Callithrix jacchus: one gene and its partners. Each later gene encodes a partner of the first gene's protein in a complex. Links are inferred from orthologs where the notes say so. Each region holds a gene or a part of one and is shown in the gene's direction. Other genes may lie near its edges.

Evidence for each region.
Region 2: the proteins of NCBP1 (region 1) and PHAX are in contact, whole or in part, in a cryo-EM structure (PDB 8PNT), measured with the Homo sapiens proteins. The link is inferred for Callithrix jacchus from reciprocal best matches to the Homo sapiens genes NCBP1 and PHAX. Residues at the interface, in NP_002477.1 of Homo sapiens: Cys380, Lys381, Pro384, Pro388, Gln389, Leu391, Ala392, Thr395, Phe417, His420, Leu421, Asn423, Phe424, Gln425, Arg427, Trp428, Ser429, Asp432; in NP_115553.2 of Homo sapiens: Ile114, Asn115, Asn116, Ile117, Trp118, Gly119, Val121, Leu122, Glu124, Gln125.
Region 3: the proteins of NCBP1 (region 1) and PPARGC1B are in contact, whole or in part, in a crystal structure (PDB 6D0Y), measured with the Homo sapiens proteins. The link is inferred for Callithrix jacchus from reciprocal best matches to the Homo sapiens genes NCBP1 and PPARGC1B. Residues at the interface, in NP_002477.1 of Homo sapiens: Glu26, Asp29, His30, Ser33, Leu34, Lys37, Val38, Lys41, Ser42, Ala43, Cys44, Asn49, Gly52, Leu53, Val56; in NP_573570.3 of Homo sapiens: Tyr1006, Glu1007, Ala1008, Met1009, Asp1010, Phe1011, Asp1012, Leu1014, Leu1015, Lys1016, Glu1017, Ala1018, Gln1019.
Region 4: the proteins of NCBP1 (region 1) and NCBP3 are in contact, whole or in part, in a cryo-EM structure (PDB 8BY6), measured with the Homo sapiens proteins. The link is inferred for Callithrix jacchus from reciprocal best matches to the Homo sapiens genes NCBP1 and NCBP3. Residues at the interface, in NP_002477.1 of Homo sapiens: Lys330, Ile377, Glu378, Cys380, Lys381, Pro384, Pro388, Gln389, Ala392, His420, Asn423, Phe424, Gln425, Arg427, Trp428, Ser429, Glu431, Asp432; in NP_001107590.1 of Homo sapiens: Glu572, Asp574, Glu576, Leu577, Gln578, Ala580, Trp581, Gly582, Leu584, Ile585, Lys588, Glu589, Arg592.
Region 5: the proteins of NCBP1 (region 1) and NELFE are in contact, whole or in part, in a crystal structure (PDB 5OOB), measured with the Homo sapiens proteins. The link is inferred for Callithrix jacchus from reciprocal best matches to the Homo sapiens genes NCBP1 and NELFE. Residues at the interface, in NP_002477.1 of Homo sapiens: Tyr461, Lys511, Lys557, Ser558, Ser560, His561, Ser564, Lys568, Ile609, Arg610, Gln612, Cys616, Lys647, Met648, His651, Glu705; in NP_002895.3 of Homo sapiens: Arg362, Ile365, Val366, Tyr367, Ser368, Asp370, Val371, Tyr372, Gly379, Phe380.
Region 6: the proteins of NCBP1 (region 1) and NCBP2 are in contact, whole or in part, in a crystal structure (PDB 5OOB), measured with the Homo sapiens proteins. The link is inferred for Callithrix jacchus from reciprocal best matches to the Homo sapiens genes NCBP1 and NCBP2. Residues at the interface, in NP_002477.1 of Homo sapiens: Glu32, Cys36, Leu71, Thr74, Val75, Arg77, Leu78, Leu79, Ser324, His325, Trp326, Lys327, Glu328, Arg329, Lys330, Ile368, Val370, Met371, Thr374, Glu378, Asn415, His419, Ser422, Asn423, Gln425, Lys455, Arg458, Leu459, Ser460, Tyr461; in NP_031388.2 of Homo sapiens: Gly4, Leu5, Leu6, Lys7, Leu9, Arg10, Ser11, Asp12, Ser13, Tyr14, Glu53, Glu54, Gln55, Tyr57, Glu58, Leu59, Lys62, Ser63, Asp65, Lys67, Ile69, Tyr89, Asn96, Arg99, Tyr100, Asn102, Gly103, Thr104, Arg105, Leu106.

Annotation. Positions count from the first base shown.
Region 1 is NC_133502.1:145,760,772-145,765,019, forward strand, and holds the start of NCBP1 (nuclear cap-binding protein subunit 1), read left to right. Parts: upstream 1-1,448; 5' UTR 1,449-1,726; coding exon 1,727-1,760; intron 1,761-4,248. UniProt on the Homo sapiens protein: Component of the cap-binding complex (CBC), which binds cotranscriptionally to the 5'-cap of pre-mRNAs and is involved in various processes such as pre-mRNA splicing, translation regulation, nonsense-mediated mRNA decay, RNA-mediated gene silencing (RNAi) by microRNAs (miRNAs) and mRNA export.
Region 2 is NC_133503.1:82,384,416-82,388,444, reverse strand, and holds the start of PHAX (phosphorylated adapter RNA export protein), read left to right. Parts: upstream 1-1,229; 5' UTR 1,230-1,247; coding exon 1,248-1,343; intron 1,344-4,005; coding exon 4,006-4,029. UniProt on the Homo sapiens protein: A phosphoprotein adapter involved in the XPO1-mediated U snRNA export from the nucleus.
Region 3 is NC_133503.1:48,438,521-48,442,680, forward strand, and holds the start of PPARGC1B (peroxisome proliferator-activated receptor gamma coactivator 1-beta), read left to right. Parts: upstream 1-1,360; 5' UTR 1,361-1,409; coding exon 1,410-1,487; intron 1,488-4,160. UniProt on the Homo sapiens protein: Plays a role of stimulator of transcription factors and nuclear receptors activities. Activates transcriptional activity of estrogen receptor alpha, nuclear respiratory factor 1 (NRF1) and glucocorticoid receptor in the presence of glucocorticoids.
Region 4 is NC_133506.1:67,508,873-67,512,372, reverse strand, and holds part of NCBP3 (nuclear cap-binding protein subunit 3), read left to right. Parts: intron 1-808; coding exon 809-937; intron 938-1,189; coding exon 1,190-1,266; intron 1,267-2,295; coding exon 2,296-2,404; intron 2,405-3,500. UniProt on the Homo sapiens protein: Associates with NCBP1/CBP80 to form an alternative cap-binding complex (CBC) which plays a key role in mRNA export. NCBP3 serves as adapter protein linking the capped RNAs (m7GpppG-capped RNA) to NCBP1/CBP80.
Region 5 is NC_133505.1:39,471,458-39,475,429, reverse strand, and holds the end of NELFE (negative elongation factor E), read left to right. Parts: intron 1-413; coding exon 414-488; intron 489-608; coding exon 609-646; intron 647-812; coding exon 813-1,168; intron 1,169-1,280; coding exon 1,281-1,425; intron 1,426-1,592; coding exon 1,593-1,647; intron 1,648-1,889; coding exon 1,890-1,992; intron 1,993-3,301; coding exon 3,302-3,399; 3' UTR 3,400-3,472; downstream 3,473-3,972. Other genes in the region: CFB (complement factor B), read right to left, coding at 3,655-3,810. UniProt on the Homo sapiens protein: Essential component of the NELF complex, a complex that negatively regulates the elongation of transcription by RNA polymerase II.
Region 6 is NC_133516.1:25,211,496-25,214,050, forward strand, and holds part of NCBP2 (nuclear cap-binding protein subunit 2), read left to right. Parts: intron 1-541; coding exon 542-723; intron 724-2,400; coding exon 2,401-2,539; intron 2,540-2,555. UniProt on the Homo sapiens protein: Component of the cap-binding complex (CBC), which binds co-transcriptionally to the 5' cap of pre-mRNAs and is involved in various processes such as pre-mRNA splicing, translation regulation, nonsense-mediated mRNA decay, RNA-mediated gene silencing (RNAi) by microRNAs (miRNAs) and mRNA export.

The DNA of each region.
Region 1 (4,248 bases):
GCGATTGGGTAACCAAAGAAGGCCTCACTAAGGACCTGATAATTGAGCTGAGACCTAAGTGACCAAGAGCCAGTCACGCAGATTTAGAACCAGAGACCTTCAGGTAAAAGAAATAGTATAAGTTCCTAAAAGCTTGACATACTAGAAGAACAGAAAGAGTGGTTGGAGCATGGTGAGGAGAGCTAGAACCCCATAGGCCATGGTATGGAGTTTGCAATGGAAAGTCGTAAAACACTTTTTTTTTTTTTTAAAAAAAACAGGGTCTCACTTTGCCACCCAGGCTTGAGTGCAGTGGTGCAATCACGACTTACTTCATTCTCGATCTCTTGGGTTCAAGGGATCCTCCCACTTCGGCCGTCTACTCTCCCCCTGAGTAACTGGGACTACAGACGCTAAACACTAGGGCCGGCTATTTTTTTCTTTTTTGTAAAGACGGGGTTCGCCTCGTTGCCCAGGTGGGTCTTGAACTCCTGGGCTCAAGAGATCCGCCCGCCTCAGCCTCCCAAAGTGTTGGGATTACAGGCGTTAGCTACCGCGCCCGGCCCTCACAGGAGTCTTTTAAACAAAGCAGTAACACGATCTGATTCTGGATTTGTGTTGAAAGCAGAGCACGCAGGGTTTACAAATAATTGTTATGTAAAAAGTGAGGGAAAAGAACTAAGACTCCCTAAACTTTTGGATTAAGCAGCCGATCGATGACGTAATTTACTGAAATAAGACTGAAAGAGAATTAGTCCGAGAGAGTGAAATTTCAGATGGCCATGGACAAAGTAGTTAGGTAAGCCAGTATGGTGCTCAGAAAGACATCAGAGGAGGGAATATTCACACACAGGCATATAGGCACCCAATAATCCTTGAAGACAGATGACCAAAAATCATTTGTTCCTTCTTAAGCAAACACTTAGGTAAAATGACGGCAAGCCGGCAAGCCAGGAGCAGCAGGTAGCAGCAAGATCGCGTCAGGACCGGCCTTTCCATCCCAGGGGGCGGCACGTGCGGCACCGCCTCCCGCCCAGGCCCCACCCCGCGTGCACAGCTTGGCCCAACCTCTCCGCCCACTTTTCCCAAGGCGGCAAAAGCCGGAAAGTGGGAGTAGATGAGCACATACCCGCCAGTCCTGATCCTTTCTTAGGTCTCTCTTCCCTGCACCATCTCCACTTAGCAATTGTCACTGCTTACTGCCCTCGAGTCTGGCCCCCGCCGCATGTTTGGGTAGAAAAGCTCGCTCGTGACGTCACCAAGCTCCGGAAGTCTCCTGGACGTCGGCGCAAGGGCCGCCGGGAAAACCATTGAGACGCCCCGAACGACCGGCCTGAACGGAGGCGGGGACTAGAGCGGCCGCCGGCACCACTTGCCTTCAGACGTACGACGACCTTGGCCCGGGGGCTCTGACTGGTCGAAGCGGCGGCACTTTCTGCGTGGCCCCGGAAGGACATAGAGCGGAAGGCGGGAGAAAGAAGCAGCCGGCAGGCGGAGGCAGCCCGAAGGGGGCGGTTGCGTGCGGGCCCGACGCCCGTAGCCCTCTGAGCTTCTGCACGCCGGCTCTTTCGGCTCTGAGCTCACCCAGCGGCCTCTTCTGCGCTTCCGGGAGCCGTGGCGAGCGACTGCGCCTGCGTGCCGGCGCATCCGCGCGCTTCGCAGCTGCCCTCGCGCCGGCCAACGGCCGGGCAGTTCCTGCAGGGCTTACCGCCTGGCCTCTCGGCTCCGCGGCGCACCGTAGGGCGGCATGTCGCGGCGGCGGCACAGCGACGAGAACGACGGTGAGTGCCCGCGGCCCTGCCGCGGAGGCCGCTCCCGGTTGGGAGCCGAGGTTCGGAATCTTTGGGTGTCCAGGGAAGAGAAGGGAACCGCTTTTTCCCGGGAGCGTGCGGGGAGCCGCGGAGGGAAAGAGTGGAATACAGTACCGGTGTGGCCGGAAGGCTTCTGGAAAGCGACTTCTCCCCCGCCCCAGTTCCTTGAGTCATGGGCCGATCCTGGGAAAGGAGGCCTGGTGAACCCCACGGATAGACCCTTGGTCTCTAAGGACGCTTCAGAGCTTGGTCCTTAGCACCACGGAGCAGGGAAGCACACCTGTGTCTGTACTGGTGCCTCTTAGGGACCCACTGACCCCAGTGTCTCGTTTTAACCTTCAAAGCTGCACCTGAAAAGGGCTCGAAAAAATTCACTGAAGGAAAGGACTGAGATCTCATGAATTGCAGTCTGAACTCTGTTCCGGTACTGGTCATCTGTTGATTATCCTTCTTTCAAACTGCGAAGAAGGAATATTGTCTTATTACGCCCAAGAGGTCCCTAATAGACACAGGTTACGGCAGATTTTGAACTGGCCGCACGCACATTTCCCTCGTGTGAGAAAGAGTGCTAGAAAACTAACTCAGGCCTCTGAGAGAGTTAGGGGTTTCTATCTCCATTTGGATGATTGTGCTCGTGGAGGTCAAGGTGTTGCCTTCATAAAAACGGACTAATTCTAGTTTAAACAAAAGATGCTTACATTACACATAAGCCTTACAATCGGTCATAAATACAAATCCACACACACAAAAAGTGAAACTTAGAGTAATTATGTTATTAACATTTTTGTGTGTTAATCTTTGAAGAGAGTGTATAGTAACGTTTAAGAGGTGAGACTTTGGAACCAGAGGGTTTAGGTTCAAAGCCAGACGTTACCGTTTGCTTTGTGATCTTGTCCAGGTTATGTAATCTCCTTAAACTTTAGTAATATAGAAGCAATGATACTTACATTTTCTGGGGTTTGTGAAGGTTAAATGAGACGTCAGCAGTGGCCCACGATGATGATTTATCATTTGCCAATGCTTAAGAGGTGGTAAACATTAGCATATGCTGTCATTGTAGGGGGAAAAAGCGTAACAGACATTTTAAATTTTCTCTACTCTCTGCTTGGGTGTTGCGGCAGTTGAGGTGGAAGCAGAATCTCATGCATTTAGTTTTAATAGGGAAGCACCAGATTTCTATAAAGGCATGGCTTGAAGGGTTATTCTAGTCCAGCCTTATCATCGGACGCCTAAGGATATAGAGACTGAGTATAACTAACACGGAGAGACAGCTGTCAGTTCCAAGACACCAGGAAGAGCAAGTCCATTCCAGGGCTCTCTTCGCTACACAGGTATAAATTAGGCTGCGTGCTTTGATTTCCACCACAAGAGGCTTCTTGTGTAACCTCTGTACAAGGCACAGAAAATACATTTCCCCTTTATTTGTGTGTGTGAGACAGAGTGTCACTGTCAGGCCGGATTGCAGTGGCTCAATCTCGGCTCACTGTAACCTCTGCCTCTCAGGCCTAAGTATCCTCCCACCTCAGCCTCCTGAGTAGCTGGGACCTCAGGTGCAGGCCATCATGCCCGGCCGGTTTTTGTTTTTTTTTTACTTTTGTATTTTTCGTAGAGATGGGGTGTTGCCACGTTGCCCAGGCTGGTCTTCAACTCCTGAGCTCAGGACGATCCACCCACCTTGGCTTCCCAAAGTGCTGGGATTACAGATGTGAGCTACTGCGCCCGACAAAAATACAGTTTTCATTTGCTTTGTTATTAATCAAAAGCGAATATATTTCCCGAGTCATTACTTGGGGGTTGGATAACTTGAATCTTTTGTCCTTTCCATTTTCTTTATTGTTCTTATGCTTTTTCTCCCTTATCGGGAATCCCTAAGGAGAGAGAAAATGTCACTTTCGGGCATCCTAGAGAATTGGAATGCAAATATGTAGAAAAATAACTTTTGCTTTGGTTATTGGGAGACTGACATAACTTTCTTGGAGTTGGCTTTAACACCAGCTGGCAGCCAAGTCACTGTCCATTTGTGTCTTGCTGGACAACCTCAGAGTAAGTAAGACAAAGAAGCAAAAGAAGGCATTCATTAAGCAAAGGTTAATATGGTGGGTATTTTAGTATGGGAGAGGCAGATACAGTTCATACTTCATAATACGGCAAATCTGAAATTTCTGTAAATCGCCACAATTTGGGTAACAGTCAGCTGGAGTTGACCCTACACAGTGATCTGAATCAGATAATTTGGATGCTTTCCTTTTAGCTTCCAAATAATCCAACTAATGAAAATAGTTAAACATCTATTTTCTAAAAAATAAGACATCTTAGAAGCTTAAGTATTATAGAAGGCTATTTTATAATAGGCTAGGAATTATAGTCAGAATTAAATAGATGCATCTGAGCATTTCTGGATAATTGTCAGCTCCTGTCTATCACTGCCCTGACTTTCCATATGCTTGACTCTATATAT
Region 2 (4,029 bases), on another chromosome or scaffold:
GCCGGGCTCGGTGGCTCACGCCTGTAATCCCAGCACTTTGGGAGGCTGAGGCGGGTGGATCACGAGGTCAAAATATCAAGACCATCCTGGTCAACATGGTGAAACTCCGTCTCTACTAAAAATACAAAAAATTAGCTGGGCACGGTGGGGCGTGCCTATAATCCCAGCTACTCGGGAGGCTGAGGCAGGAGAATTGCCTGAACCCAGGAGGCGGAGGTTGCGGTGAGCCGAGATCGCGCCATTGCACTCCAGCCTGGGTAACAAGAGCGAAACTCCGTTTCAATAAATAAATAAACAAACAAACAAATAAATAAACTAAATGTCTCCCAAAATTAAATCAACCGGCCCAAGTCCAGGAGTAATTAGGGGCAGCTTGAAGGCTGAAAGCAAGATAGGGGTTGGCTAGATCAGATCCCTCCCACTGCTATAATGTTCTCACTGTTACAAATTTTTGCAAAGGCGGTTCCAAGATAACCTTTAAAGAATGGAGTGGGTTGAGGGAAGGGCATTCCAGGCCGAGTGAAAAGCAAATGCAGAGGCCGTTAGCTTGGAATGAATAAAGGAGCAGCACGCCAGCGGTTGGGCATGGGGACGCACCAGGACCAGTGGCCAGATGCCCAGATCACAGGACCTTGTTTACCAGGCTGAGAACTCAGTCCTTGTTTTGGGGAGGGACGCTCTTGGAAGATTCGAGCTAAGGTACAATCGTCCCTCGGTATCCGCAGGTCTTTGTTTTCAAGACCCCCCCACAGATACCAACATCCGCCATACTCAAGCCCCTTACTTTACGTGGCGGTGCACGGTGGGTCCTTCCCATCCGCAGGTTCGCCGTCTGTGGATAGGGAGTGAATACAGGGCGGACTATACTGCTTGAAAAGCTTCACTGGAAGCAATACGTAGAGTGGATTGTGGAGGAGCAAGAATGGAAAGGGGGAGGCTTGTCCAGAGCATACAGGCGAGGGATGTACGGCCAAAGGCGGAATCCCAGACGACCGCAACTCGTAACATATTTATGTTTGCACGAAAATAAAGTTTGGAAGAAAAGTGTTGAGGGCCCAAGGGATTCATTTTTCCGGCGTAGTTCCAGTGCAATGGCGACGCCTCAGGCCACTGGGACAGGCAGGCCTCCGCGCGGGGGCGCCCCAGCAACCTCGCAGCCGGGCCTTCCCGCCGGAAGTGCTCTCCTGACCCGTCGCCGCGTAGACCTCCGCACCGCGCCGCGCCGCGCCGCGCCGCGCCGCGGGAAGATGGCGTTGGAGGCCGGCGACATGGAAGATGGGCAGCTTTCCGACTCAGATTCCGACATGACGGTCGCACCCAGCGACAGGCCGCTGCAAGTGCCAGTGAGTGTGAAGGGAGGGTGGGTGGTCGTGGCTGGGCGCGCGAAGCCCGGGCCCCGGGGAGCGCGCGGGCGGCGATGAGGGTGAGGGTGAGTGGTGGGAGCGAGGAGCCCGGGCTGCCGGGTCATTGGCAGTAGAAGGGCTAGCAGGCGTCACCCGGGCTGGCTCACGGAGCCCGGGTTTGGGAGGCCGGGGGGTAGCGGCGGCAGCGGTTAGGCTTGCGGACCCCGACCCGGCTGCTCGCTGCGAGGCGGGGTGCGCGAACCTTGGCGACTCCTGGAGGCGGGCTTACGGCGGTCTCGCAGCGGTCTCTGGGCCATCTCACCTCCGCCCATAAACTTAGGGCTTCCCTAGCGCCGCTAGGTGACTGTAAAGGGGTAGATTTTACTAAAAATGTAGCATCTGGGGACATCGACCCTAAATAGCCTGTGATGCTCATTTTCTACCTGGACCGAAGGGAGACTGAGACCCAGGAATGAAGTTTATCGCTTACTCAGAGACCTGGTCTTCCATCTTTCCGCCGAACCTAGCTTTGTCATGAGGTACCACGGTATAGGTTTTTGCATTAGCTTCCCTGGTTTTGTTTGTTTGTTTGAGACGGAGTCTCACTCTGTGTTGGAGTGCAGTGATGCGATTTCGGCTCACTGCAACCTCCGCCTCTGGGGTTCAAGCGATTCTCCAGCCTCAGCCTCCCAAGTAGCTGGGACTACAGGCGTGCGTAGTAACCACGCCCGGCTAATTTTTTGTTTGTTTGTTGTTGTGAGATGGAGTCTCCCTCTGTCGCCCAGGCTGGAGTGCAGTGGGAGTGGTGCGAACTCAGCTCACTGCAACCTCGGCCTCTCGGGTTCAAGCGATTTTCCTGCCCCAGCCTCCCGAATAGCTGGGATTACAGGCGCCTGCCGCCACGCCAGGCTAATTTTTGTATTTTTAGTAGACACGAGGTTTCACCATGTTGGCTCGGCTGGTCTCGAACTCCTGACCTCAAGTGATTCTCCTGCCTCGGCCTCCCAAAGTTCTGGTATCATGGGCGTGAGCCACCGTGCCAGACCCAGCTACCCAGCTTTCTAAACGGGAATTTGTCTTGACTGCCTTAGGTAGGTAGCACTCTCTTTGAGAGAGCTTTGTTGCCAGGCTACATGTGTTCAAATCCTGGTGCCACCAGTGTGTGACCTACAGCAGGTTTATTTAGCCTCACCGCTTTTTGTCTCCATTTGTGGAACTGGCATGATGTACCACTGATAGGGCTTTTTTACGATTTTTTTTTTTTGAAATGGAGTCTCCCTCTGTTGCCCAGGCTGGAGTGCAGTAGCATAGTCGCTGCCTCCCAGGTTTAAGTGATTCTCCTGCCTCAGCCTCCCAAATAGTTGGGACTGCAGGCGCTGCCACCAAGCCCAGCTAATTTTTGTATTTTCCGTAGAGACAGGTTTCACCATGTTGGCCAGGCTGGTTTCCAACTCCTGACATCAAGTAATCCACCTGCTTCGGCCTCCCAGAGTGCTGGGATTACAGGCATGAGCCCGTGCTGGGCCTATTATAAGGCTTCTATGGAGCATACTGTACACTGTAATGCCTGATAAGTGTTAACTCTGATTATTATTTGAAGATAGGAAGATAGATCATTCTAACCTCTATTTCTAGTGTAGTAGAAGTTTAGCAAATACTTGGTTTAGTGTATAATACAAAAAGCAAAGGTGATTTCTTTCTTTCTTTTTTTCTTTTTCTTTTTGAGATGGAGTCTGCCCTGTCACCAGGCTGGAGTGCAGTGGCACAATCTCAGCTCACTGCAACCTACACCTCCTGGGTTCAAGCCATTCTCTGCCTTGGCTTTCTGAGTAGCTGGGATTACAGGCACACACCACCACACTCAGCGAATTTTTGTATTTTTAGTAGACACGGGGTTTCACCATGTTGGCCAGGATGGTCTTTATCTTCTGACCTGGTGATCTGCCTGCTTCTGCCTCCCAAAGTGCTGGGGTTACAGGCATGAGCTACTGTGCCTGGCCAGCAAAGATGATTTCTTTTGCATAGAAATGTCTTAGGAAATTAGTACCAAGGTATTTTGTTTTTCAGTCTCAGGCTGTTTTACATAAATTGACCCATGACTTGGTAAATAAACTTAATGCTGTACACTCTGGGGTTTTAAAGGTATCATGCCCAGCCTGGCAAGACCCCATCTTTACGAGAAATGCAAAAAATGATTAGCTGTGTATGGTGACGGTTGCCTGTAATTTCTTCAAGAGACTGAGGTGGGAGGATCACTTGAGCCTGGGAGGTTGAGGCTGCGGTGAGCCATGATTGCTCCACTGCACTCTAGCCTGGGCCACAGAACAAAACTGTCTCAAAAAAAAAAAAAGTAATTATTATGTATGTCATTTTTAAACATCTGACAATAACTGAAAAGTCTGAAATCTTTTACAGGTGACAAGAGCTTTGGTAGTATTGTGGAAAGAGATCTTAGAACTAAGTGCTGCATTGTAAACATAAGAATTTGTGACTTTTAAATTGGCAAATCCATGTGGAACTTAGAAAAGTAGGGACTGTTTGGTCTCAGACTTGTCTTTGAAGATCAGTTCCATTTTGGAATGGCACAGTTGAATCTCTAAATTTTTAAAAATTAGGTAGGTGGAGTTTGTGTGTTTTGTGAAATTGATTGTATTTCTTGCAGAAAGTGCTAGGCGGGGACAGTGCT
Region 3 (4,160 bases), on another chromosome or scaffold:
AGCAGGTGTACCGGGGACTCTCCCTGTTTCCTTCTTCCACTGGAAGGGAGCCCTTGTAGGGTGGGCAGGGTGGGGCAGCTCCTATGAGTGTAGGGTGGAAGGAGGACAGGAGGCAGGAGTGCCCAATAAAACTGACCTAAAGCTTCCCGCCTTCTTGCCTTCATGAAGGCAGTGCCCTCACCTCCTGTCTGGCAAACAGGGCATGGTGATGAGAGTTCAAGTTTGGAGTCAGGAGGTCTGAGTGCTGGTTCTGGCTCAGAGAGTCACTCCATGTGCACACTGACAGTGAGTCTCCTTTTCTGTATCATGTGTGGCGGTGGTGGTGGTAGAGAAAATGCTCCAGCTTTTTTAGTTAACACATCATTTATTAAGTGCCTACTGTGTGCCAGGAACTGCCAATACAGCAAGTGCAAAAGCAGATTGAGGCCCGGCTTGCATGGTGTTAGAGTCTTGTAAGAAGAGATACAAAGATTAAGTCTTCACTGCAACAAATGTAAAATGGCAACTGTGACTAGCTTTTAAAGAAAAAAGGCCTACCACTCAGCGAAGGGAGCCCATGATGGTGGGGTGGAAGGAGAGGAAATGGCGTGATGCCCTGAAGAGATTACCAGGTGAATGGCTGCTGGGTGTACAAGCTCGTTGTGAGTGGGCCTGCAGAGGCTGGCAGGAGCCCAGCCCCTTCGCGCATTGTGGGCCACGGTAAGAGAAGTCATTAAAGTTTTGGGGAGTAGGGTGTTGGGAGACCATGGGAGAGAGAGAGATGATCAGGTTTAACACAGAACATAAGCAAACGCACACTTCAAGTGAAAGACTAAAATACCACCTCCTCCAAGGAGCCTTCCTTGATTTCTCTGCTTTTTATCTATGGTATTTTTCCCTTTCTCTGGCCTGGTAGATTGGGTAGAGAAACTCAGTCCTCCATGGGAGTAAGGCCTGAGCTTTCTCTTCCTGCAACTGATGTGCCTTGTGGCTTCAAACGTGGTCCTTGTCTTCTTGAGCCTCAGTTTCCCCCGCTGTGCAGAAGAAGCAGGACCCGCCCAGTGCTAACGCAACGTGATTCGCTCTGGCAGGAGCGGGGGGCTGCCCGCATTGCTGCGCAGGCATCAAGCTGCTGGCTAGGGCACCGCCACCCGGCTGTCTGCGCTTTTTCCCCGTCTGAGGGCTGCTGGAGCCGGCCGCCGCGCCAGACTAGGCGCAGGAAAGTGGGTGAGCGACCCCCGGCTCCCGCGGGCGCCGCGCGGCCCCGCCCCCGCAGCCAGTGGCCCTGCGGCAGCCGGGGGCTCGAGCTCCGCCCTCCGCCTCCCGCCGGCCTTGCTCCCTCCTCCCTCCTCCCTTGCTCGCTCGCTGGCTCCCTCCCCCCGGGCCGGCTCGGCGTTGACTCCGCCGCACGCTGCAGCCGCGGCTGGAAGATGGCGGGGAACGACTGCGGCGCGCTGCTGGACGAAGAGCTCTCCTCCTTCTTCCTCAACTATCTCGCTGACACGCAGGTACGGCCCGCCGGGGCTGCGGGCCCTGGGCCAGGGGTACTGAGCTGCGGGGGCCGCAGCCGCAGCCGCCGCCGCCGAGGCCGGGAGGCAGCGGTGGGCGCCCTGGGGTACTGGGGGTTCCAGGCTGCAGAGCCCCCCTTCCAGGCGCCCTGCGATGCGCTCCGTTACCGGGGCTGGGAGCCGAAGGTCTCCCCGAGTGTGTTGGAGCGCTGGGGGCGCTACGGCCGCTGGGGAGGGTCTAGCCTTGGCCGCTTAGAGTCTGCCCCCCCGCGGGCAGAGCTGGGGGTATCGCGCTTCCTTGGGCAGGTGGAGGCGCGCCACGGTGTGGGGTACCCTCAGGCTGTCGCTGGGTGCTGGAGGCGCGCCCTCAGCGCCCGGCACTTGCTGCCGTACTTTCACGTGGACTTGTGGCCCCGGCACGGGCGCAGCCTCTGTCTCCGGAGTCCTCTAGTCCTCCAGCCTCCAGTCCCCCGAGTGCTGTTGCTGGCCCTCCGCGGCTCTCTACCCGCGCTAGCAGCGCGGAGTTTCCTGCCAGTTGCCAGCTAAAGGCACAGGGGTCTGCGGGGCACGTGGACATGCGGGCGGAGACGGCGTCTTCCTGGTTTCGCTATCCGGCGGAGCCCTCTGGGGGAAAAAGCCAGGCAGGATGGGGGCGGAAGGACTCTCTGGGGGCGCCTGGGTCCCCCTGCGGCGCGCGGTCCCGGCGCGCGCTCCACGATGCAGGGGGAAGGGAAGGCGAGGCGGAGTCCCAGGCTTTGGCTGAGACCGGGAGCCCCACTGGCGACACGCGCGTGACAGGAGAGAGTGCTCTGGTGTGCCGCGGGGTGGGGGGAGGCGAGGAAGCTGGTGGCTTGGAGACTGGGAGAAGGGTGCTGCTGGGACAAGCAGCTACCAAAAATGTCAGCACGAGGTGTGCGCGCCCCCCACCCCTCCCCCATTTTCCCCACCCAATGCCTGTTGCAAGCATAAAGTTTGGCTCCAGAGTTAGGGCTTTTTCTCCTGGCGCCCGGCTGCGGGTCACAGGGAAGCTGGGGTTGCAGCGGAACCTCGGAGGAGCCCCTGGGTGCTGGCACACGCCTGGGCACGGAGAGGGGCAGCCGGGCGGAACCGGGCGCGGCTCGCGGGGGCTGATTTAGTACCTGGAGTGGGAGCGCCGGTGCCGGCCCGTTTTGCATAACAGTGGAAAGGAGGGGGAAGGCGTAGATGGGGGGGAGGGAGGTGGGAGGAGAGAGAGGGAAACTTTGCTTCTTGTTATAATCTGCCAGTCTTTGGGCGGCAGCAGCTGTCATGGGACCGGGTGGGCGGGGAGAGGTTGCAAGCTGACTCCTTGCGGTGAAACGCGACTTGGAGGGGACGCCGCAGCCTAGACGTTCAGCTCCGGGCGGACTCCGGGTGGCGACTTCGGGCCGGCTGCTGGGACAGCGCGGCGTGGCAGGAAGCCCGCCACGCGGGAGGCAGGCCGGCCCTGGCCAGCTGCAGACGCCGCTGCGTAGGGGAGCCGCGGGGCCGCGTGGTCGGTGGCGGGCACGCTCGGGTGGGTTCGCGGTAGAGGCCGGAGGGGCTGGTGGCGTGTGATTGCGCTTCTCGAGGTAGGGGGAGTGTGTGGTGAGCGTGTTGCGCGCGCGCGTGTGTGTGTGTGTGTGTGTGCACACGCCGTGCGCGCCGGGCGCGTACCTTTACCTCTGACGAAACTGCGGTGGAGCTCCCGCCGCCGTCGCCAGGCTCCGTCACACGCCCCGCGCCGGTGTCTGCGCCGAAGGCGGGTCCCAGCCTCCGTACTCCCGGAGCCTAGAGCTTGGGGTTAGGGAGACTGACTTCGGGAGGAGGGGCAGAGTCTCTCCAGGGACGATTCTGTCCCCAGATCTCTCAATTGCCTGGGGGCGTCTCCTAATCTCTCCGCTGAAATTCGGATGAGGAGGGAGGCCTGAAATAGCCGGAGACTCCTTCAGGGACCCATTGCAAGAACTGTCCGCTTTGGACCATACCCCGGATTTAAACTCCATCTTCAGTGTTTGGCTTAGCAATGATTAATTATTTTGCCCTTTTAGCTACCTAGCGAGCCTAGCTAGCAGAAATATTTCACCCGAGGAAACTAGAAAATTGAGTAATCAGGTGTCAGCAGGAACAGTGCAGTGAAAGTTAATCTGGGACATTTGCTTTTTTTTTTCTTAACCACGTGACAGCCCAAGGATCTTCTGGTGATCTATGCCGGCCCAACTTGGGAAATGTAATTGATAGGATGAGCTTTGAGCCGCCCCTAGAAGGCTCGCACAGCCCAGCCGGAAAAGGACCTGGGCGGGCCCAGCGTGCGCCTCCTCATTTTACAGTTGGGGAAAGAGGCTGCGAGGAGTGAGCGGCTTGTACGGGACCACGCAGCCAGAGGGTGACAGAGCCACCCAGGGCTCCTGACTCCAGGTCCTGTGTGTTACCTCGAAATAGCACTGGACTTGGAGTCAGAAGGCCTGAGTGGAGTCACCTTCCCCACTCTCTGGCTGGGTGACCCTGGGGCAAGCCATTTGAACTCTCCAAGCCTCATTTCCTCCATCTGTCAAATGGGGCTGGTGGTGCGGCAAGAGAATCCAATGGCCTGGTGGTGGGGGTGAGCCGTGTTTGCATGTGAGATGTTCTGGTTGTGCCTGCAACCCCCTCTCCTCCCCCAACCTTACCCTCACC
Region 4 (3,500 bases), on another chromosome or scaffold:
ACAGCTGTGATCATCATCAAGAACTGCTAATACATATTAAGTATTTAACTACCTGTGTTCTATTCCAATAGTGTTATCATACACAACCCTTTTTCATGGAATACTTAAGCTATTTTGTAGAACCCAGTTTGGAAATGCAGCTCTAGGCTAATTTTGTCAGAGGCTTTACTACCATGTCCGCCCTTTCTTCCTTCCCCGTCTGCTTCTCCTTCCCTTGCCCTCCCTTTCCCCTTCCCTTGCCCTCTTTTTCTTTCCTTTCTTCTTCCTTCCCTCTTTCTCTCTCTTTCTTTCTTCTCTGTCTTTCTTTTCTTTTCTTTTCCTTTCTTTCTTTTTCTTTTTTTATTTATTTTTAACTTTTCATTTCTTTTGAGATGAAGTCTCACTCTATTCCCCAGGCTGGAGTGCAATGGTATGAACTTGGCCTCAATATCCTGTGGCATTGAGTGGTAGCCTCAATATCCTGGGCTCAATCCATCTTCCCACCTCAGCCTCCCAAGTAGCTGGGACTACAGGCTCATGCCACCATGCCCAGCTAATTTTTGTATTTTTGGTAGAGGCAGGGTCTCACTGTGTTGCCCAGGATGATCTCACTTCAAGCGAGTCTCCTGCTTTGGCCTCCCAAAGTACTGGGTCACAGGCGTCAGTCACTGTCCCTGGCCTATATTTCTCTTCATTAGTTGGTTTGTATATTTACTGATGATAATCTATTGCTAGATGAGGCCATAGTGATGACTGCAGTGCAGAATCTGCTCTCAGGAAACTTACTATTTGTGTGCCATGTAGCGTCTTATTTTATATTTTATTTAAGGTAATGTAGTTTGGCTGGATGAAATGACAGCTGCACGAGCCCTTATCAATATGAGCTCTCTGCCTGCACAGGATAAGATAAGAAGCAGGGATGCCAGTGAGGACAAGTCATCTGAGAAAAATAAAAAAGGTAAGTGATGAACAAAAGAGGGAACTTGGGTTTGAAAGTCCTCTTCTTCACTCAGTTCTGTTGTGCGCTGTGCGTGTCTCAGCAGAGTGCTGTAGCGTCTCATCAGGTGGTTCTGAAGTAAGCTATGATGCTTTAGATCATCAGCAAAGGGGAAAATACTGGACTTTTAAAATTATATGAAATAGTTCATCCTGTATCTCATTATATGAAACTTTTACCTTGTTTCGTCTTGTCCTTCACATTCCATGTTAGACAAGCAGGAAGACAGTTCAGAGGATGATGAAGCTGAAGAAGGAGAGGTTGAAGACGAGAACACAAGTGACGTAGAGGTTAGTAATAGGGCGAAGGTAGATGTCAGGCTCTCTTGTAAAAAATGCTTACTGTCTTTTTAATTTAAGTCTTAAAGACTTAGTTGTGTTTTTCCTCTAGCTTTCACCGTGAGACCTTCTGAGGATGCACAAAGCTCTTGTCCTTTAAGGTCATGTGGATGTAACAATTCACCTTGAAACCCCATAATAGTGCTCATCCTTCTACAAAAAAGAAAATAGTTTTATTGAGAAATACTTTGAAGTGTTATCTAATCAGTAAAATTAAGAAACAGCAAGTAATGACATATTTCCTAATGGATTATGTACTGCTGTTAGAAATATTAGCATGTATTCATTTTTAATTTTTTTTTTGAGATGGAGTTTCGCTCTTGTTACCCAGGCTGGAGTGCAATGGCGTGATCTCGGCTCACTGCAACCTCCGCCTCCTGGGTTCAAGCAATTCTCCTGCCTCAGCCTCCCGAGTAGCTGGGATTACAGGCACGCGCCACCATGCCCAGCTAATTTTTGTATTTTTAGTAGAGACGGGGTTTCACCTTGTTTGACCAGGATGGTCTCGATCTCTTGACCTCGTGATCCACCCATCTCGGCCTCCCAAAGTGCTGGGATTACAGGCGTGAGCCACCGTGCCCAGCCGCATGTATTCATTTAAAAAATATTTACTGAGTACCTACTATACGCCATATTCTAAGTGCCATGGATATAGCTTCAAGCAAAACAAAGTCCTGGTCTTCTTGGAGCCTGCATTCTAGTGGGAATACAGGTGATACACCGATGCACAGATCCTAATACTGTGTCAGGTGGTGACAGGTGCTGTGAAAACAGGAAAGAGTAGGGAATAGAGAATGGCTGAGACTGTTCCTTTAGACAAGGTGGGCGGGAAACCTCTGAGTTAGAAATTCTACAGAGGAACTGGTGCTATAACCCTTGTACGCATTAAAGGTAGAATGCCTTTCTTAATGGTAACTTGACTACTGAAGAAATATGAAAAGGACTTTAATTTTTATATTAAAAATACTCTTCTTTCTTAAGTTGGACACGTTGTCTCAGGTAGAAGAGGAGTCTTTGTTAAGAAATGATCTTCGTCCAGCTAACAAACTTGCTAAAGGAAATAGGTTATTCATGAGATTTGCTACAAAAGGTAAATTTTTTATTTGGTATTGTTTTGTATTTTCAGTCAAAATGATTTATTGTGGAGTGACATCCTTTTTTTTTTAATAGAACTTAGATCAAGTAGTCTCAAAGTTCCCTTCAAACTATAGTATTCTTGCTTATGAAATAAGTGCTCACTGCCTGAGCTGGAATTTCTGACTTTTAAAGTGAATATATTTGTATACTTCTGTGACTTCTAGCTAAAGAAAGTGATTTTCTATTAAAACTGGTTTGCCCCATGTGTTTTCAGCCAGTTACATCTGAATTATGAAAACTTTAAAATGAAACGTTTTAATCTATTGCAGCAGGATCCTCCTGAACATTGCCAGTATACCATTAAGCTCTAATTCCCGTCTCATAAGACTTTTGCACACAGTGACTTTTGGCGGGCGTTTAAAAATGTGTGTGTATGTGTGTATATGTGTATACACATATACAAATCCTGTTTTTTGAGAGTTATTTGAAGATAAAACCCGTCACCCCTAAATACTTGAATACGTATTCCAGAGAACAAGAACATTGTCTTTCACTGATAGCACACTCATCAAAATCAATGCATCTGACATTAATAGAGTACTGTTACCTAATCCGTCGTCCATATTCAAGTGTTGTCAGCTGTTCCAATAATGTCGCTTCTGTATTCCCCACCCAGCCCCCAGGTCTAGGATCTAATCCAGGACTGAGTGTTTTTAAGGATGTCACGTTTCCTTAGCTTCCCTTAATCTGGAGCTACTTCTGTCCTCCCATGTTTTCCAAGAGTATAGGCTTACTATTTTATAGGATGTCCCCGGTTTCGGTGTGTCTGATGATTCCTGCTGGTTGAATTAGGGTTGTGCATGTGAGGTAGGCGTGCCATGGAAGTGATGTCATGTAATTTCCAGTGCCTCATGTCAGGAGCCCTGGGACACTTACTTGTCCCATTCCTAGGGATGTTCACTTTATTCACTTGGTGAAGGCAGTAATCACTAGATTTTTCCACTGTAAAGTTACTGTTTTCCCATTTGTGTCTTAAAAATTGATGGGCTGGTGGTTGCAGTGGCTCATGCCTATAATCGCAACACTTTGGGAGGCTAAAGCAGGAGGAT
Region 5 (3,972 bases), on another chromosome or scaffold:
AGCACTTTTAGGAGGCTGAGGCAGGAGAATTGTTTGAGCCCAGGAGTTTTAGACTAACCCTGGCAACATAGTGAAACCTGTCTCTGCAAAGAAAAAATACAGAAATTAGCCAAGCATGATAGAGCGCACCTCTAGTCCCAGCTACTAGGGAGGCTAAGGTGGGAGGATTGCTTGAGCCTGGGAGGTCAAGGCTGCAGCAAGCTATGATTGCACTATTGCACTTCAGCCTGGACAGCACAGCAAGACCCTGTCTCAAAAAATAAAACCACATAGTCAAATAAGAAATGTACATAGAATTAAAAGGAAAAACAGATCAGAGGAAACCTAGAAGAAGGTGAGCAAAGAGGAACACCTTTGTTCCATGGTTGGGCAGCCTTCTGCTCCACACTGAGGGAGGTCCCTCACCTCTCCAGGACCCTGAGAAGGGACCAGTCCCCACTTTCCAGCCCTTCCAGAGGAGCATATCTGCTGATGATGACCTTCAGGAGGTAAAGGCTCCTAATTTTCTGTCTCTGAGGGGTTGGGGATAGAGGAACATGAGAGACTAACGTATTTTGCACCACATGTCAGCAACTGGGAATCTTAACTATTATTGGTCTCTTTTACAGTCATCCAGACGTCCCCAGAGGAAATCTCTGTATGAGAGGTTAGAGAGTAGAGATAAGACTGGGCCCACTTGGCGGGGTTGATTGCCTGAGTCCTTGGGAGGTTTGGGCTGTAGGGGCTGTGCTGTTGAGGGAGTGTTGAGTCTCCACAGGGTCTGAGGGGAGAAGGTAAAAGCCCCCTTTGATCTTCAGTGTGCTTCTCCCCAGCTTTGTGTCTTCTAGCGACCGGCTTCGAGAACTAGGGCCAGATGGAGAAGAGGCAGAGGGCCCAGGGGCTGGTGATGGTCCCCCTCGCAGCTTTGACTGGGGCTATGAAGAACGTGGTGGTGCCCGGTCCTCAGCCTCCCCTCCCCGAAGTCGCAGCCGGGACCGCAGCCATGAGAGGAACCGGGACAGAGACCGAGATCGGGAGCGGGATCGAGACCGGGACCGAGACAGAGACCGGGACCGGGACCGGGACAGGGATCGGGATCGAGAGCGGGACCGGGACAGGGATCGAGACCGGGATCGGGAGCGGGAGCGGGACCGAGACCGAGACCGAGACCGAGAGGGTCCTTTCCGCAGTGAGTGAGCTTGCCTGGAGGTCAAGGTGACCTTAACTAAGGTTTATGTGGGTCCTACTATGTGAAGTGTGGCATGGGCTATGTCTTGTGACTGTGATTCCTGATCCCAAAGGGTCGGACTCATTCCCTGAACGGCGAGCCCCTAGGAAAGGGAACACTCTCTATGTGTACGGAGAAGACATGACACCCACCCTCCTCCGTGGGGCCTTCTCTCCTTTTGGAAACATCATTGACCTCTCCATGGACCCACCCAGAAAGTAAGGATGACAACAGGGCAGGATGAGAAGGAAGTCCTGGGGGAATCCTGGGGTATGAGACCTGAGGGAAGAAGCTGCCCTGCCTGCAGCCACCTATGATCACTGGGTTTGGTTGGGTCCACAAGAGCCCACTGGCTCTCCACTGACCCTGTTTTCTCTTATCCTAGCTGTGCCTTCGTCACCTATGAAAAGATGGAGTCAGCAGATCAGGCCGTTGCTGAGGTTGGAACTTCCCAAATCTGTTCTTCCCATCGCTTCTGCTGTTCTCATATTTTCTCAAAATACTAGATGCCAGGAAGAAGTTGGTTCCTCTTGATAGAGAAAGTCTCCCTATTCACGCAGAAAAACTTATATTCTCAGATTCCTATTCAGTCTACTCCTAGGATAGCAACCCCTGGAATAACTTCTTTGGTTTATCTGTAATGTTTTGTTCCCCGTCCTCTGCCTCCCCTCTTCTGCTTCAGCTCAACGGGACCCAGGTGGAGTCTGTACAGCTCAAAGTCAATATAGCCCGAAAACAGCCCATGCTGGATGCCGCTACTGGCAAGTCTGTTTGGGGCTCCCTTGGTAAGAATGGGATTCTTCCTTCCCCATCGTCTCTCCCACAGCCCACTCCTTTTGGTTTCCCCTCATGTACTTGGGTTTCCGAGAGATGACAGAGGTCAGTTTGTGTGGAGGCTGTGGGGATGGGAAGGAAAATTTCAGATCCTCCGTCAGAGGTAAAGAAAGGAGAGAAAAGGATTGAAAGCAACTTCCAAAGCAGTGACTGAACAGGAAAGAAAGTGGCAGCTGGAGTGAGATTGGTGAGAAAGATGAGTGTCTCATGGGACTTGTTCATTTCAAGATGGAGTAGAACAAGTTTCATCAGTATTTAAAATCAGCGATCTGGAACTCAGGTGTGAGGTAAGGAATGAAAACATAGATTCAGTCATCCACATCACAGCGATGCTCCCAAACAATAACAGGGAGACTGATTTCAGAGGGAAAAAACGACCCAGGACTAGGCTTGAGGAGTACTCAGGGACTGTGTTAGGAAACAGGACTGTCCTCCTCATGCCCCACGTATCCCCAGCTCTCCTGATGTGTTAGGCTAACGTTGAGCCTGATGTAGCAAAGGAGACAGGAGCAGGAGTCGGGGCTGGGAGCAGCATCAGAGGGGCCTGGGTCACTGAAGCCAAAGGACACACACTTTGAGATGAGAGAGTAGCCAGTAGTGTCAAGGTACAGAGATCACAGGGTGGGAAGTGGGTAGGAGCCATTCTCTCTAGCCCCAGAGTGGTGGGGATGGAATTGTTAGATAGGGTGAAAAGAGTGACATGTCTGATGGAGGGAAGAAAGAGAAAGGGGAAGAAATAGCCAGGGACTTGAGAGAGAATGGTGAGGGCCAAAGCTACACCCTGGATGAGTTCTCCTGGTGGAGCTAGTAGCATTTCTTAGTGTGATTAACCATTCTACCTGAAAGTAGATGTTCCTGGGAAAGAAGTGAGCAGAAAGAAGGGCTCAGAGCAAGAATGACCCTTCAGACAAAATGAAGGAACTAGAATTGACTAGCATGTCAACAAAGGGCTACAGAGGTTTTCTAGTTTTTAACTTTTGACATACTATAAGTAGTGGGTAACATCGTTCACGTGTCTCAGCAATGACATTTGGGATTTTTCTAAGAACAAAACATTCATCATAATATCCACTTGTACTCTTCTTGGCCATGGGTTGGCACGAAGGAGCTAAGGGAGACAGACAATCCTGGCCACCAGAGGGCAGTGTGAAAACTTGGCTTCCAGAGACCCCGGCCAGGAGTGAGGTAGTCCAGAGTCGGCCTCAGGGTCTGATCTGTGTTCTCCTTTAGACCTTAACTCTTCCTCTCCTCCCTCCCTAGCTGTCCAGAACAGCCCTAAGGGTTGCCACCGGGACAAGAGGACCCAGATTGTCTACAGTGATGATGTCTACAAGGAAAACCTTGTGGATGGCTTCTAGGGACCAGAGCTGGATTCCTTGTGCCTCATATGCCCCAATGCTGGTCTCAGTAAAACACTGAGGTGGAAGCTTACACATCTCCCTCAGCCTCTGGTTTTTCAGCACTTGGGATTGGGGTTAAGCCTTTAAAAACGGCTGTGAGGTTTGATCTCTGTAACAACATGGCCAGTGCCTGTTCCCCACTCCATCGCCCCAAAAGGATCTGGAACACAGGTGTTGTCGCAGCTGTTTTAATTCAGTCCAGCAGGAAACCCCTTATAGAAAACCCAAATCTTCATCTTGGAGTTTCTCCTTCAGCCAGGGCAGCACTTGGAAGAGGTTAATGTGAAAGTCTCGGGCGTGAGCAGGTACCTGCTTTTGCCGCCTGTGGTTTTTGCAGACGTCCACTACTCCCCAACTGATTACACCAACCTGCAGAGGCAGAGGGGTGCCGTGGATCATTCAGTAGACCTCCTTTCTAATCCTGGAAGCATGGCTGATCCTGGTTGTGTCTTAGCTGACCTAAAGGAATCAGACTAGGGACCCAGCTCAGTCTTGTTCGTTCAGACACAGGCCAGACATGTGGCCCTGAGG
Region 6 (2,555 bases), on another chromosome or scaffold:
AGGAAAATGAGATGTTTTGGTTTTTTTTTACTGATCACTACATTTTTTCCTAAACTCAGAAAAATATATGAGCATGTAAAGCATCCACGTTATTGCTTTGAACAGTTTCTATAGGTGCATTAAAAGAGGAACTCTATCTGAAAATCCACTTACTTTTCACTGTAGAGGATAAAAGGGCCCTTTCTCATATATTAGGTCAAGGTCCAGAGTTTAAACTTGGGTTTAAAGGATGCAGTGCTGAGGATATGGTGTGTACATGGAAAAGGCAAGCCACTTGTGAGAGTCTGGTGTAGAAGTTATTTTGTTGTTTGCGGTGTAACTTTTGAGACTGTCTCTCTATTAAGAGTCTGGATTTTCCATAAGTGCTTCACAGATTATGTGAACAATCCCCCCTTTTTTTGGGCAAGGGATTTGTGGTAGATTGGGATGAGAGAATTTGATTTCCAAATCAGAATTAATGAATATTTTTTACCATGCTTAGAAATACTATTTAAGCAAGGCTCTTAAGTTGCTTAACTTTTGTTTCTATTTGAAATTCTAGGGTGACAATGAAGAACAAGAAAAATTACTCAAGAAAAGCTGTACGTTATATGTTGGAAATCTTTCTTTTTACACAACTGAAGAACAAATCTATGAACTCTTCAGCAAAAGTGGTGACATAAAGAAAATCATTATGGGTCTGGATAAAATGAAGAAAACAGCATGTGGATTCTGTTTTGTGGAGTATCCTTCCTGTGTTTAATGTAGCTGTTGAACCAGAGTAGAGCTGAGAGTGGTTGGTTGCCTGTTTGAAAAAAAAAAAAAAAAAAAAGTGAGGCTGTTGGTTCATAAGCATCCCTGCACTTGTTCCTACGTTTTCCTTCGTCTCCCTTCTGCCTTCTGTCATATTTATCTCTGCTCTTATACTATGAAAGCTGCTACTCTTTACATTCTCTTGAAATTCATGCTTTATGGTTAAGAAAAAGTTTTTCAAGAATATTTGCCCTTCATCTAAAAAAAATTCTAAAGAGCATAGTGAAAATATAAAAACCTTGTTCTGTTCTAAACACCTAATTCCCTTTCCTAGAAGCAGTCAGTTACCAGTTTCTTGGGTGTCTTTCAAAAAGTAATCCTGTGGGTGTGCAGTAGTGTATTTCATGTGCTGGTTTTCTTTTTAAATAAATTTTTTTATTGTTCCATTTCAGCACACGTAGGTCTGTTTTAAAGACAGCTGTATAGCTGGGTTTGATGGCTCACATTTGTAGTGCTAGCTACTCAGAAAGCTGAGGTAGACCCAGGATCACTTGAGCCCAAGAGTTCAAGGCTGCAGTGAGTTGTGATGGTGTTCCAGCCTGGGTGACAGGGCAAAACCCCATTTTTAAAGAAAAAAAATTTTGAAGGAAAATAGCTGTATAGTATTTCATTATGTAGATGTATATGAGTTGACTGTATAGGTAAAAACCAAAACTTTATTTACTTGTGATCATTTCATTCATTACTTTACTCACACTCTTTAAATATTGGACCTCCTGGATTTATCCTATGTTCTTTTTACTATATTTTATGCTTTGTTCATTCAGTTTAATATTCTGAGAAGTTTTGCAGACACAATCTAATGTTTCTGTTGAATTTTTTTCTGTGCCCTGATTTTATGTTTGTTTTGGTTGAAAATTTTCCTTAAGTGTCTGGTAATCCCTGGATTTCTGTTCATAATTAAGAACGCTGATTCACTGGACCTAGGCAGGGCTTCTCTCCCAGATGCTGGGTTGCCTTGGGGATATGCGGGTTTCCCAAATGCTAGAATGAAAAGAGATTTTATTTTGGCCTGCTAACATCAAAGCCACTAGTTCCTCCAGATGGTTTATTGAGAACACTATTGTCTTAATTGTCTGGGATTAAAAGTCTTCCTGCTTGCAGGTCTTCCCAGATAGACAATTAAATGGAGATCTCTGATTAAGTAGGTTTGGGAACTACTACCTTCTTGATACCTCGAGTCTTTCCTTCAGTGAAATGCAGTGCGATTCCATGTGCACTGTGACCTCTTTATTAAGGCTGCTCTGGAATATGTAGCACCTAACTTGAACATATAGCATTTGTTTCTTGGATAAAAAGTGTACAGTGGTCTAAACCTGCACTGAATGTATTTTATATTTTGCAAACCAAAATACGGAGATGATGAGACCAAAAATTATCAACAGGAATGTCCAGGAAATAATGATCAGTGTAGCCGTGGGTAAGTGTCACATTTGACCATGTGCTTCTAGACCAATTGCAAACAGGCCTGTGCAAGCTGAATTACTGTCTTTGCACTACCGCTGCTTGGATTAGCTCTTAAACTTTTTAACAACTCAGCTTCATTTACATGTTGTCTCCCATTTCCAAAAATGCTTGGGAAAATGCTAGTGTTCCTTAACACTTAAGATATTACTCACGAGCAGATGCAGAAAATGCCATGCGGTACATAAATGGAACTCGTCTAGATGACCGAATCATTCGCACAGACTGGGATGCAGGCTTTAAGGAGGGCAGGCAGTATGGCCGCGGGCGATCTGGGGGCCAGGTATGCAAGAAGGGTC